Arabidopsis thaliana: one gene and its partners. The protein of the gene in region 1 interacts with the protein of each later gene in a pairwise test. Each region holds a gene or a part of one and is shown on either strand. Other genes may lie near its edges. The genes, in order: FER1, ORA47, TOC132 and AT5G40590.

The links.
Region 2: the proteins of FER1 (region 1) and ORA47 interact in a two-hybrid assay, tested with the Arabidopsis thaliana proteins (one large-scale study listed by BioGRID).
Region 3: the proteins of FER1 (region 1) and TOC132 interact in a protein complementation assay, tested with the Arabidopsis thaliana proteins (one large-scale study listed by BioGRID).
Region 4: the proteins of FER1 (region 1) and AT5G40590 interact in a two-hybrid assay, tested with the Arabidopsis thaliana proteins (one large-scale study listed by BioGRID).

The regions. Positions count from the first base shown.
Region 1 is NC_003076.8:227,448-231,723, forward strand, and holds FER1 (ferretin 1), read right to left. Parts: upstream 2,605-4,276; 5' UTR 2,148-2,604; coding exon 1,840-2,147; exon of another isoform or gene 1,816-1,839; intron 1,751-1,815; coding exon 1,667-1,750; intron 1,555-1,666; coding exon 1,494-1,554; intron 1,394-1,493; coding exon 1,306-1,393; intron 1,205-1,305; coding exon 1,143-1,204; intron 1,048-1,142; coding exon 982-1,047; intron 889-981; coding exon 825-888; intron 737-824; coding exon 702-736; 3' UTR 506-701; downstream 1-505. Other genes in the region: AT5G01610 (hypothetical protein (Protein of unknown function, DUF538)), read left to right, coding at 3,628-3,714, 4,038-4,092, 4,177-4,276.
Region 2 is NC_003070.9:28,142,189-28,145,580, forward strand, and holds ORA47 (Integrase-type DNA-binding superfamily protein), read left to right. Parts: upstream 1-1,662; 5' UTR 1,663-1,808; coding exon of another isoform or gene 1,809-1,910; 5' UTR 1,911-2,050; coding exon 2,051-2,638; 3' UTR 2,639-2,870; downstream 2,871-3,392. Other genes in the region: ALDH10A8 (aldehyde dehydrogenase 10A8), read right to left, coding at 1-76, 277-385; AT1G74929 (uncharacterized protein), read right to left, coding at 1,809-1,910.
Region 3 is NC_003071.7:7,210,540-7,217,306, forward strand, and holds TOC132 (multimeric translocon complex in the outer envelope membrane 132), read right to left. Parts: upstream 5,079-6,767; 5' UTR 4,941-5,078; exon of another isoform or gene 4,588-4,940; 5' UTR 4,571-4,587; coding exon 950-4,570; 3' UTR 855-949; intron 741-854; 3' UTR 520-740; downstream 1-519. Other genes in the region: AT2G16630 (Pollen Ole e 1 allergen and extensin family protein), read left to right, coding at 1-333; PRORP2 (proteinaceous RNase P 2), read right to left, coding at 5,398-5,526, 5,598-5,666, 5,769-5,889, 5,988-6,166, 6,265-6,366, 6,536-6,767. UniProt on the Arabidopsis thaliana protein: GTPase involved in protein precursor import into chloroplasts. Seems to recognize chloroplast-destined precursor proteins and regulate their presentation to the translocation channel through GTP hydrolysis.
Region 4 is NC_003076.8:16,250,774-16,253,977, forward strand, and holds AT5G40590 (Cysteine/Histidine-rich C1 domain family protein), read right to left. Parts: upstream 1,662-3,204; 5' UTR 1,541-1,661; coding exon 836-1,540; 3' UTR 545-835; downstream 1-544. Other genes in the region: AT5G40595 (uncharacterized protein), read left to right, coding at 2,737-3,003, 3,148-3,204.

The DNA of each region.
Region 1 (4,276 bases):
CCGTGCGAGGGACTTCTTCGTCATTATACAAATAAGATTCTCAATCTTTACTTAATGCTTAGTGGTTTGAAGAACCATGATGAAAAGATAAATCACTAAGGGAGAATCTGTACATGAAAAGCTTAATGGTGTTTTCATACGTCATGAACTTCTTATGGATACTCATTTTCGTACATTTGTCAGCTCTTTGTAGAACAGACAGGTCTTTGTTTGGTTAGAAATGATTTTCTACTGTTCAACATGGAATCAAAGTAAGAGCATCTCTTTTGCTTTGATGTGACAGTGATCTTGTTCTTGTTTGCTGTTCAGTTATATCCCAGTGACCAGCTTGTCCTTCTCGGTGGAAAGTGACATACGCTTCATGCTTCTTTTACATGTTCTTCATAAACAGGTTCGTTATGCTTACTCTTTCAAGTTGGATCATAAATATTCTATGTTTAATTAGATAGGTCTGAGTTTTCACTATTTTCTTAGTTACGCATTGTTTGGCCGTAGGTTTATAGCTAGTTAGAATATACTAAAACAAAAACTTCATTGATTAAGCTTACGAAGTTATTACAAAAACCATCTTGAACACAAAGCTTACTACTACAATCTTATTAGTCCATAATGTTCAATCTAAAGCTTTTACAGAATCTTCGGGTTCTTCTGTTTTAACCCCAACATTGGTCATCTGAAAGTGAACTTATAGAGGTCCAAGTCTAGTTCAGAAGCATCTGGTCGAAATGCCAAACTCCTGCAAAGACAGAACAAATGTAAATAAGCTTTTAGAAATACCATTCAAGTCTGAGAACACTATCTCAATATAGGGTTTTGATTCGTACCGTGGCCTTTGCCGATCATCCTTAGCTGGGTGATGTAGTCTGAGATCTTCTTGATTGCTTCAATCTAGAAATAGTCCATAATATATTCTGAGTCAGAACATGTACAGATTATACAAGTCACTAGTTGTAATCCGAACAAAGGCAAAAGAACTTTTACCTGCTCTCCCAGAAATTCACTCTCAACGAAATCAGCTAACTGGGGATCATTGTTCTCTGAGGCCACCTGTTTTGTTGGCCAAAAGTACGTGTTAGTTAGTATTAGGAAAATGACTATAAGTTTAATCTTTGATGATCAAATGGATAAGTTAGGGAACTTACTTTGTGAACGTTTAGAAGCTTCTCATTAGTGAGTTTCTCTAGAGACAGAGCCAACTCCATTGCTGAAAACAAAGATTAGTAAACTAATAAATATCTGTATCTTTAAAAAAAAAGAAAAGTTGTTATTTTAGGATTAAGATAGTGTATTTGCTTAAAGTTTTACCATATAAAGCATCTCCTTTTTCAGCATGTTCGAATTCTGAGATAGGTGAGACGATAGGGTGGAGTTTCACTCTTCCTCCTCTTTGGTTCTGTATAGAGACAACAAACCAACAATATGAATATTAACTAAGTGAATCACAAGTCTTTATCAACTTTTCTAAAACAGAAAAGAAGGTAAAAATAGAAAACCTGGTACTCCATAAACTTCTCAGCATGCCCTCTCTCTTCCTCACTTGATTCCTTGAAAAATCTGGTGATTATAAAAACTCATGTTTAGTATGGACATATATATCTCATTTTGAAGTATACGATCAAGATTATTATAAATAAGATTAAGATTAGAGTTAGAAGGTAATAATTACTTGGCTAGTCCCTTCATAGCAACGTTGTCTCTGTCAAAGTATGCGTACATTGAATGGTACACATAGGAGACGTTGTATTCCACACTGTAAATAGAAAGCAACCTCCTCCGTTAGATCTAATCTTTAAACATTTTCGTTTCTTTAATTAGACAGAAAAGAAAAGAGAAGCTTACTTGATTTGCTCATTAATGACTGCCTCGCTAGCGTCGGCAAACCTCTGGCGAGCGAGAGAGGCATGAGATGTGATTGGAATGGCCAGATCGGCTTTCTTCACCTCTTCGAAAGGCTGGAACACGACTCCGGTCATCGGCATGTTGTTTGTGTCCACCGTAGCCGCTGCAACGACCACTGCTCTGCCGCCGCCAACTTTCCTGGAGAAGCCGAGAGAAACCGACGGAGAAGCAGAGCCGTGAGGGAGTAGTGGCTTAGGAGACAGAGCGGGATTAGCGGCGGTGAAAGACGAGAGTGCGTTTGAGGCCATCGTTGGAAAATGTAGAAGAGGATAGTGTTGAGCCGCCTGAGATTTGTTGTAAGAGATGGTGATGATGATAAGAAAGAGGAAGGAGGAAGGGTTTATATAAGAGGGAAAAGGCGTGTGGTCACCGTTGGATTGAGATCCACGTGGAGGGTGGATATGAAAGCCAGATGTAGGGGCGTGTGGCGGCCTCGTGCTACATCCAATGGGATAGTGTGAACGTGAGGATATTCGATCCACGTTAACATCTCTCCAAATAAAGTTTGTCTGTTTCTCTGCTTTCTCTTTTATCCTCAGAATCTTTTTACCATTTCCGGTTCCTACTCTCGCGTTGCCACTTTCTTATTTCCTACTCGCTCTCTCCTATTTTTCGAAATGTATTTTTTAGAGTTGTAGATGATAACAAATACAATTGTTTACTATAAAAAAAAAAAAAGAAAAGATGATAGCGTTTCCAACATAAGTTAGACGTGTAAAATCCTGTGACACATATTGACATAGGAAATCGGATAGAGATAAAAGTATTTCCATATTGTTTTTATAAAAAATCATCAAGCTACTAGAACATAAGATTGAGAATGGTCCAAACCCTTTAAGACTTTCCGTATTATGTGGCCTAATATTCATAATTTACAACAAAGAAGGAAAAATTCGTGGCTCTCTAGGATATTTGATGGAGACGGAAAACTGATATACAATTATACATAGGATAGAGTCGCGAGTAGCTCAACTCCACGTAATTTCCAGCTAAAGCGCGTGAGAGGTTCCAAATGGTTCCTTGTCTTTATCGGAGACAATTACACGTCGGAGTAAGTACATTGTGGGCCTCATTAGTAATGTCACGGCCCAAGTTAAAAAATCATATCAAATGGTTTTTCTAAAAAGTTGTAATGTTGGCAAGGACAAAAATTAAGCATTAAATAAAGTGTAGTTAGGCTTGGTTTTATTTTATTGGCTTGATTTGAATCGATTCGTATTACTCTGGAATGCACAAAGACAAGGGTAGGCTATAAAAGTGTTAAAGAGCTTAATAATATTTTCGACTGTAATTACAAATTTAGCTGAGGTTCGTCTAATAGACAAGTAAAATCATGGGAGGAATGGCAAAAAAAAAGGATTGATTGTAGTCTTTAATTTTACTCTGTTTTGTGCCATGTGGTTCTTCAGTTCCCAAGTTGTGTTGCACCTATTTAATCTGATTTTCATTGAAGGCCCAATAGATAGATAGTCAGTCCCAAGGAGGAGTGATAGGCAAGTACTTTTTTTTGTAATTTGTACAGTATAATGCTGCCTGCTTGCTTCAATAAATATATTGGTGTTTATGTATTTGCCACATGTCATAAGTTAATTGGCTGCAGGAATAGTGCACAAATAACGAATCCAACGGTGCGAGAGTGGTGGGTTCCCAAAATTCTTTCCCGGAAGAAAAAGAAAGAAAGTCGTCCTTCGTTTTCTCAAAATCTTCTCTATCCTTTCTCGAGAGAATATGGATCAGATCTTCAACAAGGTTGGATCCTACTGGTTAGGCCAAAAGGCTAACAAGCAGTTTGACTCCGTCGGCAACGATCTCAACGTACGTCTTTTTTTGACCCATCCTATAGAATCTGATTCATCTGTTTTCCTAATCGATTTTGATCTATTGACGTGGTTCCGATATAATCAACCACCTTTATCGTAATTTTGGTATCATGCAGTTGTACGAATGTTTTGAGTTCATTGTTAGGTAAATCACGTCACATAAGGAAGAACATCTAATTACCAAAACCATGATATCTTAAGAAATGATTCAAATATATGATCCTATAATGTCTTCTCTTCTTGCTCATGTGGTTAGATTATTTTGTTTGAAACTGTGATCTTTTCTAACATATAAAACAATGTTTTTGTTTATGCCAGTCGGTGTCAACGAGCATTGAAGGAGGAACAAAATGGTTGGTCAACAAAATCAAAGGTTTGCTTTTTTTTATTCTTCTTCTGACTGCATCTTTCAATTTTTTGTTTTTTTGAAATTCCCCATTTGTCATCATGTTGACAGGGAAAATGCAGAAGCCGTTGCCTGAGTTACTAAAAGAATATGATTTGCCGATTGGAATCTTCCCGGGAGATGCTACAAACTACGAGTTCGATGAAGAGAC
Region 2 (3,392 bases), on another chromosome or scaffold:
TTATTCCTTGATAATGCTCTTCGAGCAGCGTTGACAGCAACATCCACGTCCTCCGTTGTAGCTGCAGGAATATCACCTATCTCATCCAACACATACAAATCCTTGGATCAACTTCAACTAAAATTCATGGAAAGAAAGTAGTCGATACAGCAAAAGATAGTCATGAATAGAGTTAGGAGCAAGTAATATCTCCACATCGAACTAAGAAGTAAACAAAAGTATACATTTTTACTTGGATCTAATCGAGCTGTGGCGGATTTTGAGAAAAGCGCTTACCAATGACCTCTTCAGTAGCTGGATTAACGATCGGGATTCGCTTCTTCAAGATGGGTTCTCTCCATTCGCCGTCGATGAATAGCTGGCGAGTAGGCATCGGAATCGCCATTGTTCTTATCTGAATCTAGAGCTCCGGAGATGGAGTTGCTGCTGCTCACTGGATCGTGGATTCGTGGTGCACCGTGCACGCACTTCAAGATTTGGACTTTATAAGTAGCTTTCACTAATGAAGAAGAGTAGGAGGATCAAAACGAAAAAGCCTCTCTTTTTTCCTTGTTCTGCTGACACCAACCAGATCAACTTTTTTTAATTATAACTCTTTTACTAATCTAATTAAAAATGTGTATTTAGTTCCAAAATAATTAAAACAGAGATCAAATTTTCATATTATGAACAAAAATATATAGAAATTAGAAGAACTAAAAATCATACACAAAGTTAATTAGAAAAGGATTAGAGATCTTTAAACGTCACTTTTTTGTTTTGTTTTTTTGCAAGATAAGAGGTGAATCAAAATTGAAAAAGGAAATAAACATGTAATATATTCCAAACGTTGAGTAAAATCCTAAACCGGCAAGGATTAGGTTCCGTAAACCTTATAAATAGAGAGTTCGTATAGTCTTTGTTTTCCTCATCAATACTCAAATAACTCATCGACTTATATTCCTCAATCTTCCTTCTTCGATTTTCTTAATTTGTGATCTTTTGATCGATAATGGCGACCACAACAACAAGAATCTTCTCCTTCATGCTCATGATGATGAGCTTCACCGTTCTAATGGGATGTTGTTGCTCAGCGAAAACCTATAAAGTTGGTAACTCGGAGGGTTGGGGGCAATCTGTTCCGTGGGTTCTGAACAAATAAATAATAGTAACAAACGATTTTCCCAAAATGGAAATTGATTATTGAATCTAAGGGAGACTGTTCTTACACAAGGTTGTGTCACAAGTTCATTAGTAGTGGCTATCTCGAGCAAAGTATAATGAAAGTTAGTAGTGGCCACTGGCCTTCAATTCAATTATTGCTCCATCTTGAGAAGTGGGATTAAAAGAAGGTAACTTTTTTTAACTTATTTGGAAAACAGAATGCGTAAACAAAAGAGATAGCTACTGCTCTAAATAGTGTTCATGTATGAAACTTCTGTTTTGGTTCCACCTTTCTTCTTCTACGAATCTCAAGTTATGATCAACAGACGACTCGCTTCTTTCTTCAAAACAGTGAGTCATATACTTGCTTCTTAACTTCTTAATTAGTGTCCGCATCAAAAATGTCATGAGCCTAACCATTGATGCAAACATTTATAATAACAATACTTATGTGTGTCCGATTCAACGCCCAATAATCTCTAAAATACAAAAGAAGAAGTAGTCTTAAAATTCTAGAAACAGAAGTCGCGACGAAAATCTCAGTATTTAAAACAAACGTGCCTAAACAAATAGAGATAATCATTCAGATATAATGCAAAAAGACAAAAGAGAGTTGAATTAAATCACGTGGAAAACAAGGAACACGACAAAGCAGAACAGTCTCACTATTCCCGCGTTAGCCACTCAATACAATCCGCCACGTGTCCCATCTTCACGCGCCAGTCAGCGTTGATCTTCTTCCTCACTTGCCACTTCCACTTCTTCATATATAAATCCCACACAGCCGCAAATTCGAAATCAACCAGATATAACAGAATTAACCTACACAACTGAAACTCGAGTTAAGAACCGGAAACAGAATCCAATTCAACCAAACCGAATCGAACCGAACCGGAGTTTTTATCCAATGGTGAAGCAAGCGATGAAGGAAGAGGAGAAGAAGAGAAACACGGCGATGCAGTCAAAGTACAAAGGAGTGAGGAAGAGGAAATGGGGAAAATGGGTATCGGAGATCAGACTTCCACACAGCAGAGAACGAATTTGGTTAGGCTCTTACGACACTCCCGAGAAGGCGGCGCGTGCTTTCGACGCCGCTCAATTTTGTCTCCGCGGCGGCGATGCTAATTTCAATTTCCCTAATAATCCACCGTCGATCTCCGTAGAAAAGTCGTTGACGCCTCCGGAGATTCAGGAAGCTGCTGCTAGATTCGCTAACACATTCCAAGACATTGTCAAGGGAGAAGAAGAATCGGGTTTAGTACCCGGATCCGAGATCCGACCAGAGTCTCCTTCTACATCTGCATCTGTTGCTACATCGACGGTGGATTATGATTTTTCGTTTTTGGATTTGCTTCCGATGAATTTCGGGTTTGATTCCTTCTCCGACGACTTCTCTGGCTTCTCCGGTGGTGATCGATTTACAGAGATTTTACCCATCGAAGATTACGGAGGAGAGAGTTTATTAGATGAATCTTTGATTCTTTGGGATTTTTGAATTCCCAAACATAATATTTTTTTAGAGCGAACTGTGAGATTTTCCTTGGAGTCATGGAGAAATCTGGAGATTTTTTGTAACACGGAGCTCCAATGACCCGGGAATTTCTTTCGTTTCGGATCCGAATTTGATGTGGATCATATTCACACCTATATTTTTTCATTTTTTTGTTGTAAAGAAAAATCGGATAAGATTCTAGTAATAAATGTTAAAAGTCCATTTCATTATTCTGAAGAATATCCTTCGAACACGATGAGTTTGGAAGATTATATTATCCGGCCCAAAATCTTATAGTTGGGCCTTAGTCATTAAACATTTTTCTCAGCCCATTGTTTTAAAAATTGATTTTCGTGATAAAGTAGTTAACTTAAGTGAAGTACGAAGGTTCCCTTGGCCTAATTAAAACACAAGGGGGTTTCTATAAATGAAATATGATAAAATATCTTCCAAGCATTTCGATAGTATTGATGACAATTACAAAGTTCAACATCAATAAGTCAAGAAATTAGGATTGGAAATCAAGGAAGAGAAACGGTCTTCAAAGAAAATAGAATTGAATCGAGAAAAATATCAGTAATCGGAAAAAAAAATGAAAAAAAATTGGGGTGGATAAGATTCCCATCATTTTCAAATTGCCACCTGATTTTCGGCTTAAATAAGAAAAACCATCACTTTCAATATAAACCACTATTTCATTCGAGACAAAATAAAAAAGAAAAAATAAAAACCACTAGCTAAACTAATACTAATAATC
Region 3 (6,767 bases), on another chromosome or scaffold:
AAACCTGAGTACAGATGCTACTGGAGGGCGATAGGTCCAGACACAAAGGTCGCAGTTGCATTTGGGCTAGTAGCCGGGAGAATATACGGCACAGATATGACAGTACGAGAAGCGCTTGACGGGCGAGGAGAAGCCTATAAGACACTTCTAAGAGAGGCAACAACTGCATTGCTCAATTCATACAACTCTCTAGGATTTCCTTATAATTCCGTCGCTGTGATCACATATACCAATCTGGCTCTCCTCGGGAATTCGGAACACGATGTCCTCATGACTGCTATTCGTTTCATCAAGGCTAATTCCGGGACCTGCAGATTCACAGTCTGCAATTGATTGAATGTGTTTTCAATACTTATATACTCTACACTCTTTCTTTCTCTTTTACATTGTTCTTGGGTCCTTTTGTAATACTATAAAAGTCTATACCTGGATTCATTGGAGAATTTATGGACTATTATTGTATCCCTATTTATACTCGGCATTAAACTTAGTTGTTACAAAGCCTAACGTTCTAGCACTGTGAGCACTAAATGTTGTTATGATATAATGCATCAATGATTGGAGAGGGACATGAACAAAAGTAGATATGCTTCATTCATAAGGGAGATCACAAGGTCTTAGAAATAGAAGAAAAACAAACCACTGAGCTATTATATATCAGACAAGGAACGTGTTATGTTCTGGCTATTTCAAGACACAAACTTTCCTCCAACAATTGGTCTCTTGCTACCAGACAGATCCTGTTCAAAACCAAAGCACATCAACGCTCAGCAAAATCCATTAAGAGGGTTTCCAAGAAAACGAAAATATCGAAATCAGTAATCACAGTAAGATATAGAGATCAGATTGTGTACCTTTTCAACTCACTCTAACATGTTCTTGTGACTAATCGATTCCTAATACTCCAGTGCAAAGGGATGGAAGTGAAATCAGCCTAAATGTTTCTTAATCATTGTCCATATTGCGTTTGCGGGTAATAATAACTAAGTAGCTTCTTGAAGAGAGGAACAATCGCAACCATAGCAAGTTGGAGCTGCTCGGAGCTGTTAACACGAACACTTACTTGCCCTGCTCCTCTATTGTTCAGATTAGCACGAGCAATTAAATTAGAGGAACGTCCAATGGGAACCTGAGACTGTATGTTCCCTCCAATAGCAAGATCACCGTGCCAATCCATTACAGAAAGTCCAAGAGTAGTCAAAAACCGACCAAGCGGATAATCTTTATCTCTCAACTGAGCTTCCAAAGTACCACCATAAGCAAAATCTCCCCGACTAGTCATAGCTCCACCAGACATTACGATTCTGAACCATTTACTAGCAATAAACTTATCTTCGACTTTCAACCCCGCAGAAACCGAATCACCCAAGTGTGTTACAGAAAGACCAGCTGCAGCCTTGTTTCTCCTGAAATTGTTAAATCTCGTTTCGCTTCGAAGAGTATAAGCCAATTCCTTTCCAACAGTTTGCATGTCGAAACCTAGGGAAGTTGATTTACCCTCTCCATGTTTAACCGAGCTGGCCATTTCTAGCTGCACATTTGCATCCTTCTTGTCTTTTGTCACTTGACCTGAGACAGATATTGGTATTTTTTCTTTTACAACAAAGAGCCGTTCTGCATTCACACCTTCATAACCAATATCATGATCCCACCCATGAGTTTCCAGGACTGGCCTAACAAGCCACTGATTGGAGGAATCAAGGTACCGGTAGCGGTGAGTAGGGTTATCAGAGTCAAAAGACGCAGGTAGAGATAAATCTGGCATAGGAACTGGAACTGATGCAGGTCCACCACTCTCCTCTTCCACATTTTCACTATACCCATCAGGCAAATCTTTAATCTCTGCAGCAAATTTCTTAAACATCTTACGTCTCTTTCTTTCCTCTTTCATTTGCTTCTTCATTAAAAGTTTCTCTCGGTACTCCATTTCATCGAGATACTGCTTCTTCTGAGATTTACTAAGCGTAGCCATCTGAGCTTTAGTCAAACTCTTAAACGGAGGAAGCTGATCATACTCTGATTCTTCGTCTGAATCTGATGATTCTTCTAAATCATCTTCATCTTCTTCATCACCATACTGCTGTTCAGGAAGCTTAGGTTGTGGTCTTGATTGCAGAAGCGATGAAAGGAGAAATGGTAATGGCGGAGCCTTGGACCGAGCTGCAAATGGTCTCCCTGGAATATTATCTTGCAACTTCAAAAGAGCATTTGCTTCTGCTAGAATCTTAGATGCAAATGAGAGTAGCAACAAATGTGGCTTCCACACTTGGCCATTCGGTAATACTCTCTGGCCTGCCCGATTAGTCCTGCAAGCTGAGTGATTCTCAACTAAAGAAACAGGGTTCATGAGCCTCATATCTCCAGCTGCTTGGCGAATGGCCTGCTGGATGACATGAGAACGTTGTGTAACAAACATATCATAGCTAGAAGCAGTGCCATTTGGGCCATCTGGTGGAACAGAAGCGGCATGAGTCAAACCCACAATGGCATTAAACCATATCGAAGGACCAAAAACATCACTTATGGTGCGCAGGAGAGGCATGTCACCAGAATCTCTGCTTTGCATATCCAACCTATCAAGATATAGTACAATGTCAGGTGGATTCTTCTTGATGAAAGCCTTAACAGAATTCAGGATCTTCTCATTCTTGGCTTGATCAGACCAGGAAGGTAAGAGACCGGGAGTGTCAATCACCCGTACCTTAATTCCCTGAACCAAACCCTCAACATCTTGAACCCTCTTTGTCCCCATCTGGAATGCATCAGTACAAAATTTCACTTCATCAAATATAGAATTGATCGTTGCACTTTTACCAACCCCACTTTTTCCGAGAACCATAATCGTACAAGAAAAATCAAGTGGATCCTGTCCAGCAGCCTCAAGCTGTTCTGCCATGGCACTAGCGCGATCAAAACTAAAAGCACCAACACGGCTTCCATTTCTGCCCCTCAACTGCTCAGCCAATCCAAGCCTGTATAAAACCTGAGCAACAACAACATTATGCGGGGTTTGCCCTAGTCTATGTGCAAGCCTCAAAAATTTTACCCTGATCAACTGGAGCTTCTCGCGGGTCTCATCATGCTCATCAGCCTCTGTAGTGGTAGAGTCTTCAGCTTGCTGAAACTGATTGTGAGACCCATTCCCATTGACGCGAGACTGTTGAGGAGCACGTGATGCAGGTTCCAAAAGAGGAGAAGCACGACCAAGACCTGCTGGACGAGCAGGTGGTAATGCCGCAGGATTACTTCTAGACTCTGTTGGTGAAACAGAACTTACTACCTCAGGTTCTGTTTCCACATGTGAATTTTCTGTAATCTCTGGATCTACATGTACTCTGCTGCTTTGCTGCTTCTCAAGCTCCTTATTTGGTTGAGGACTCTGAACATCATGTCCTCCATTAGCACTTTGAACTGGTTTGTGTTCTCTACTAGTTACCCCAGGGGAGCCACTATTGCTGTGAACTTCAGTTGACTCAGGATATGAGTGCGGCGAAGAAGCCAAGTGTTGCTCTGGTTTTAAACAAGTACTGTCCCCTTCAGTCTCTCCCTTTTCCCCGGAACTAGATTCCTCCAATGGAGATGAAGTCACAGCACTTGATACTTCATTGTCACCTGAAGCATTAGTAACGATATTACTTGTGTAGGCGGCACCAGTCTCACCATTTCTTTCTGCCTCGGACTCACTGTCCATACATACTGAACCATTCTCAAATAGATCCTTACTTGTTCCTTCACCTTCCACAACATCTTGTTCTGTCTGTTTCTCAAATAGATTCTTACTTGTTCCTTCACCTTCTACAACCTCTTCTTCTGTCCGTTTCTCAAATTGATTTTCAGTTGTTCCTTCACCTTCCTCAACCTCTTGTTCTGTCTGTATGCCATCAACTCTTTCCTCCCAATTATCGACTTCAATGCCATCATTCCATGGTTCCTCAATCCCATCATCTTTAGGGATAACTTCAGCCACCACTTCTTTATTTTTAGGAGAGGCGATTCCATTTCCCAAAAAAGAATGAGTCTTTCCGTTTTCAATACCCACATGCTCAGCTGCTAAATTGGAACCATTAGTATTAGTTGATGTAGCATTCTCAGTGGTATCAACAACATCCAAGCTCGATTCAACTTTATCATAAGAACCACCTCCACCTCCTTCCCCCTTATCACCATTCATTTTAGTAGCCAAAACATCAAATTCAGCCTCTCCCGCACCATGGCTCTCTCCAACAGCCGTAAAATCTTTAACACCCCCTTCATTGCTACTCGTTTCATCCAAATCACCCACTGCCTCTTCAAAATCCTCCACTTCATGCTCAACCATAGAACTTTTAAGAGTTTCCACTAAAGGCAAATCATCAGATTCAAACAATTCACGTTTTGGATCCTCCTCCTCCTCCTGCTCATCATTCTCTGAACCAATCGCTTCCTCAAAAACCTCGTCCTCGTTATCATCCCTTACTTCATCAGATCTCACCAACTCATTCTTCACTACTTGCTCATCACTAATTCTATCCTCAGCAAGCTTCTTATCTTCCCTATCTGACCTAACCACAAACTCAGTCCCATCTCCCATTTTCTAGATCACCACCGCTACGGGAAACAAAAGCCACAAATACAATAATCAGAGATCAGAAATCACTCCAATTACCAACTACGCTTTAACCATCAATATAAATTCCAACAACCAAAAAAAAAAAAAAACGAGCACACAGCTAAAAGAAACCTAGATCAGAGTTAATCACCACGAATCCTAGAATCCTTATCCCTTACCAATTCCAGAAACTAAAATTCAATTGAAGTTAACCAAATCGCTTAAACACAGGTCTAAGCGGTGATAGGGATCTCCAAACATGGAAGAAGAACTTTGTTGATTACAGGAAACGAAAACCAAAACAGAAGAAAGAAGACGAAGAAAGAAGAAGAGAAATGGAGAGAAGCCTTACCAGAAGTTAGAGATAGAGAGAGAGAGAGAGAGAGAGAAATAGAGAGAAGGTGAAAAAGTGTGAAGATCCTTTCATGCGCTTTACCGGCTGCGAGCCTGCGACTACGACGGGGAAGGAGATAAGAGACGTTCATCAACGGTCCTGATCAGTTTGGGTTTAAGCATCGTACGGTTGATAATGACTCGTTGATGCAATCGTGAAATGATGCTGACGTGGACTATATAAAGTAGAGTGAGTGAAGCCGTGAAAGGGAATAGAAAACCCTCGTGCGTCAATTCGGTTTAACCAACCCGGTCTGATTCGGTTTGGTCTACTACAATTTTTTGTGTTCTTTCTAATGAGAAAAGTTCAGTCCCTTATTATAGAACCAATGAACGTTTTTTGTGTTAATCTTCAAAGGACAAAGAATGAAAACTCATAACAAATGATACATGAACTCAATAAGCTGGTGCAGCTACTAAGGAATCTTCCCATTACTCTTAGGTGAATCTAAAATACTTTGTCTGCTAATACACATCCAAGTTCTTGAAGACTCTTCATTGTTTTCGCATGAGACCGGGAAATGCCATGACCCTTTCTCTGATTCCTGATTTTGTCGAAACGTAATTGAGAAACTATCGAAACCGGAGAAAAAAAGGACTGAGATGGTAAACAAACCTGAATGACAACCGAAAAAGGAGACGGCATTTCAAGCTTCAGGTTACCTTTCACAAAAGTATACCGGACCTGTACCAAAACCATAAACCAAATGTTCTAATTGTAGACTTCTCAAAGTTGCACTTTTAGTATAAAAAGTTACATATTGTATATAAGTTTATATAACTTTACCTGATGTCTTTCTTTCCACTTTTGGAAAAAAGTACTCCCTAAGAGTTCAAAAATGTGGTCTCTCATCTCATCATTTGTCACAAGCAAACACTTGAGCTTAGCAGCAGCATACAGCCAATACCTGGAAAGGTAAAAAAAACAAAAGATGAGTGTAGTAACCAAACATTGTTTGTGTTTTTTGTCGAAATAATGGTGCTGAGAGAAGCTAAAAGTTCATACCAATCATCATTGGAACCTGGTGGAGTTGCATACAGGACACCGTTACTAATCCATTCTTCAACCAGATTCCGGTGAGTTGGGTTTTCTAAAAGCGTCTTGACCCGTCTCTTGTGCAATAGAATTAGGGGCCATTTGTTATTACCACTTTCACGGTAAAGTTCCTTCATCACAGATTCAAGCTGCTCTATCCCACATGTATGTGATATCAGTATAGCAAGGAATGGATTCTAAAAATATGGAGGAAGAAAAACAAGTACCCCAGAAAAGATGGGAGAACCTGTGAAAGACTGAAACTGCCATCTACAAAATTTTGTTGGTAGAGCCCAATATTTGCTCCATCTACTATAGCTTCGTAATCTCCATGTTTCTCAAGCCAGTCCTGCCAAATAAGATAGCAACATTCAACAAATATCGACATTTGAATACTCAAGATTGATGACAATTCGCAGCAAAAACTCCAACCAGTGTACCTATCTCTAAATGCTTATCATGCAATATTTAATGTCCAAGACTTATTATAACCAAGCTAAGAGAATCCCATCTCTAACCTGAAACTCGCTGAAGACCACATTTGTCTCACATGAATTCATCTTTGTCTTCCTATCCATAGCCAAAGCCACCAAAGAATCCACAAACTTCTGTGTTTCTACCTCATTGGTATCTACACAAGCTAACTGCTCACTGCAGCTCAAACATCTTCCTGTTGAGCTAACATTACCTTTCTTTACAGTCCATTTACCCTCCCCAACCCACCCATGCCCGTGCCACCCACCTCCATTA
Region 4 (3,204 bases), about 16 Mb from region 1:
AATCTAAGCTTATAGAAGAGTGATGTTACCTTTACTTGAAGGTTTTGCTGAGAGGAAGGAAGCTCGAATCGGAGAAGAAGAAGAAAGCAAGCAACTTTAGCAGAGAGTTTTCTTCTTCCTCAATTAAACTATTTTTGAGGCTCTATTATAAATGGGCCTATCTTTACTTTAATGGGCTTAACTTCTGTCAAAATGAGCCCATTTGTTAACTCCCTAATGATTATGTGACTTCTAATTGTGTGTGTGTTTTTCTTGACATCATCACTTCTAATTGTGTGTTTGCATTTGCAAGGTCTGGATTTGTTTGTTTTTTATTCAGTTTTGAGATCAATTTGATTTTACGAACAAATAACATTGACAGAAATATAAAATAAAATGTAATTAATACTATATTGATAATATAGATATAATTAAATCTTAAACTTTAGATTTTATTTTACCATCCGTTATTAACACATCGATAACACTAACACAAACTACTTTAAATAACCCCAAATCTCACAATTTCAATACTTTATTCCCAATATTTTTAATCTATAAGTAGGGGTGATCCAATACTTATATATTTTTCCTATAGTAATATAAAATGGATTATGGAACTTGAAACATAGTATGCAAAGGTAACATGGTTACAAAAACGAAAGCAGCAATAATCGTTCAAAAAAAAAAACTGATAATTCTTTTATTTCAGATAACAATTTCAAAGAAAAAAACAACAACAACAACAACATGAAAAGTTTGCAGGAGCAACAACAACATAAATCAAGAAAAAGCAACAAAAAGAAGAAAAACAGACACAAGTAAAGAGAATTTGAAGAATCCCAACTTCTTCGAATTAGATGCAATTGAGAGCTGCCTTATTCGCCTTTTTCGAAATCAAAGCACTTTGCATCGCCAAATGCATCTCAATCTGCATCCTCTCCACTTCTCTTTGAGCCTCTAACATTGCAGCTAACTCCGAATTCATCGAGTTTTTACTTCCTTCTCCTTTTTGATCTTCTTTCTTTGCCTCTTCCTCTTTCTTACATGAGTGTAAATGCGTAGCGTAATCACATTCCTTGCAATAATACGACCAGAGATTATCCGGTACAATGTCTTCACAAACATCGCATTTGGAAACTAAACCGGGTTGGTTATAAGGAGAACCGTAAAGAAGAGTAAGTGGATGTGGGTGATCTTCACGCTTCACTGTTTCAGGCATTGAAACACATCCGACATGTACATCGTACTGACAGATTGAACAGTTGTACGTGAAACTTGATCCGTATTCGCCGCAAGCATTACACGTGTACGTTGACTTTGGGGAATAGATTAAAGTCAAAGTGTGGGGTTGGTGAGATTTGTGGTTGGTTTCACGTGGAAGTTCAAAACATGACTTGTGCAAGAAGTAATCACAATCTGATGACTTTGTGCATTTGAAAGCTGCACCAACCAGATCGAGATCACAACCGGAGCAGATGATTTCGTCTTTGGCTTCGCATTTGTGACCGCGCAATGGATGGTTGTGACTCGGGTGCCTCACCGATTGTCGTGAAGACATTGTTTTATTCAATGTTCTTGATTTAGTATTGAGAGGCGTTTTGTTTGTGTTTGTGTTTGTGATTGTAATTAGCTTAGGATTTCAATCTATTTATAGCGTTAATGGAGAAGACTTAGTGATATTGAGTCTTGGTTTTGAATTTGACTATCAAACCAAGTTGTAGTTTATAGTGATTAACTATATAATTGGGAGAACAATGTCACGCTTTAAGTTATATATATATATAATATATTATATATTAAGTATATAACAAAATGGTTCATTTGGGATTCGAAGTCAAGAAATGCATTTCAAAGTCAAGAGATGCATTATGCATGGAATTAGTTTGCGATCTTGTTCACGCATCTGAGTTTTTTTTAAATGTTATAACTATAATTAGCTAATTAACCTGTTGAAATTCAAGATAAATCAAAATAAATATTGTTCTATCATTAGCAAGTTGGGGATAAATACATTAACGTTGACATAGTGACGGATGTAAAAGTCAAACTAATCACAATGCTTTGACTCTAATTAATTAAGGCTGATATCCACCGTCTACTCCTTCGTTTCGTTTCGTTTCGTTTCGTTTCATACAATAATGTTTTTTGGAATGCATACATACTATATTGTAAAATGATTGAATTACACTTTTTTATAAGAAATGATAAAAAATGATAAAAGAATTGGTGGAGATACAAAAATAAGAGATGCTCGAAATAATAATAGAATTGTGAAAACAAAAACAACAACGCATTAAAATAATATGATTGTTTTATTAAAATCATAAATATATATATATATAAAAAAACAAAATATAAATTAACATATTTTAGTTAGTTTATATCTTTGTAATCGATTCGATTATGTTACGCTCACAATCACAAGTTTGAAAATCTTCGTGTGGGATGAATCATAATGGATCCTGTAATAGAAATGTCATAATAAACAGATTACGGAATCCTTGATTATTGATATGGTTTCCTTAGTCAAAAAAATTAGAATCACTGGGGAACAGTAATGGAATTCAATCATGCAAAAATAACTTGTCAATTTATGTTAATATTATGTAAGAGATCCTCATGATTCGAATTGTGATTCATTCATGTAGCAGTTTCACCGATGATCTTATGTGTTATAAATTAGATTAATATTCAGACAAGGTCACACTCACACATTGACATTACATACGATCAAACTCGGTTTCTTACGGTACCATGTCGCGGTTTGGAGAAAACAATGGCAAGGGCATTAAGCCCCTGCCAAGAACAATTCGAGTTCGCATGTTTGACAACTCGGAATTAATCAGAAGGTTAAAGAGGACGACACTTATCGGAAAGATTATGAATCCTGACGTTCAGAGTGTTGGATCACTAGTTTTGATGATGCCTAGAATCTGGAAACTAGAGGGTCAAGTGGTTGGGAGGGACTTGGGATTGGGAACGTTCAGGTTAGATTTCGAGAGAGAGGAAGATATTCTTGAGGTGATGAAAACGGAGACTTTCAATTATAATCATTGGATGCTTTCTATTGTAAGGTGGGAACCGATTATACACAAGGACTACCCATCGGCCATCACATTTTGGGTCCGAATCGTGGGTGTTCCTCGGGATTTCTGAACTGATCAGGATTTCCGGAGAATAGGGAATGAGCTAGGAACTGTTCAAACCTTTTCGGCTACTGTG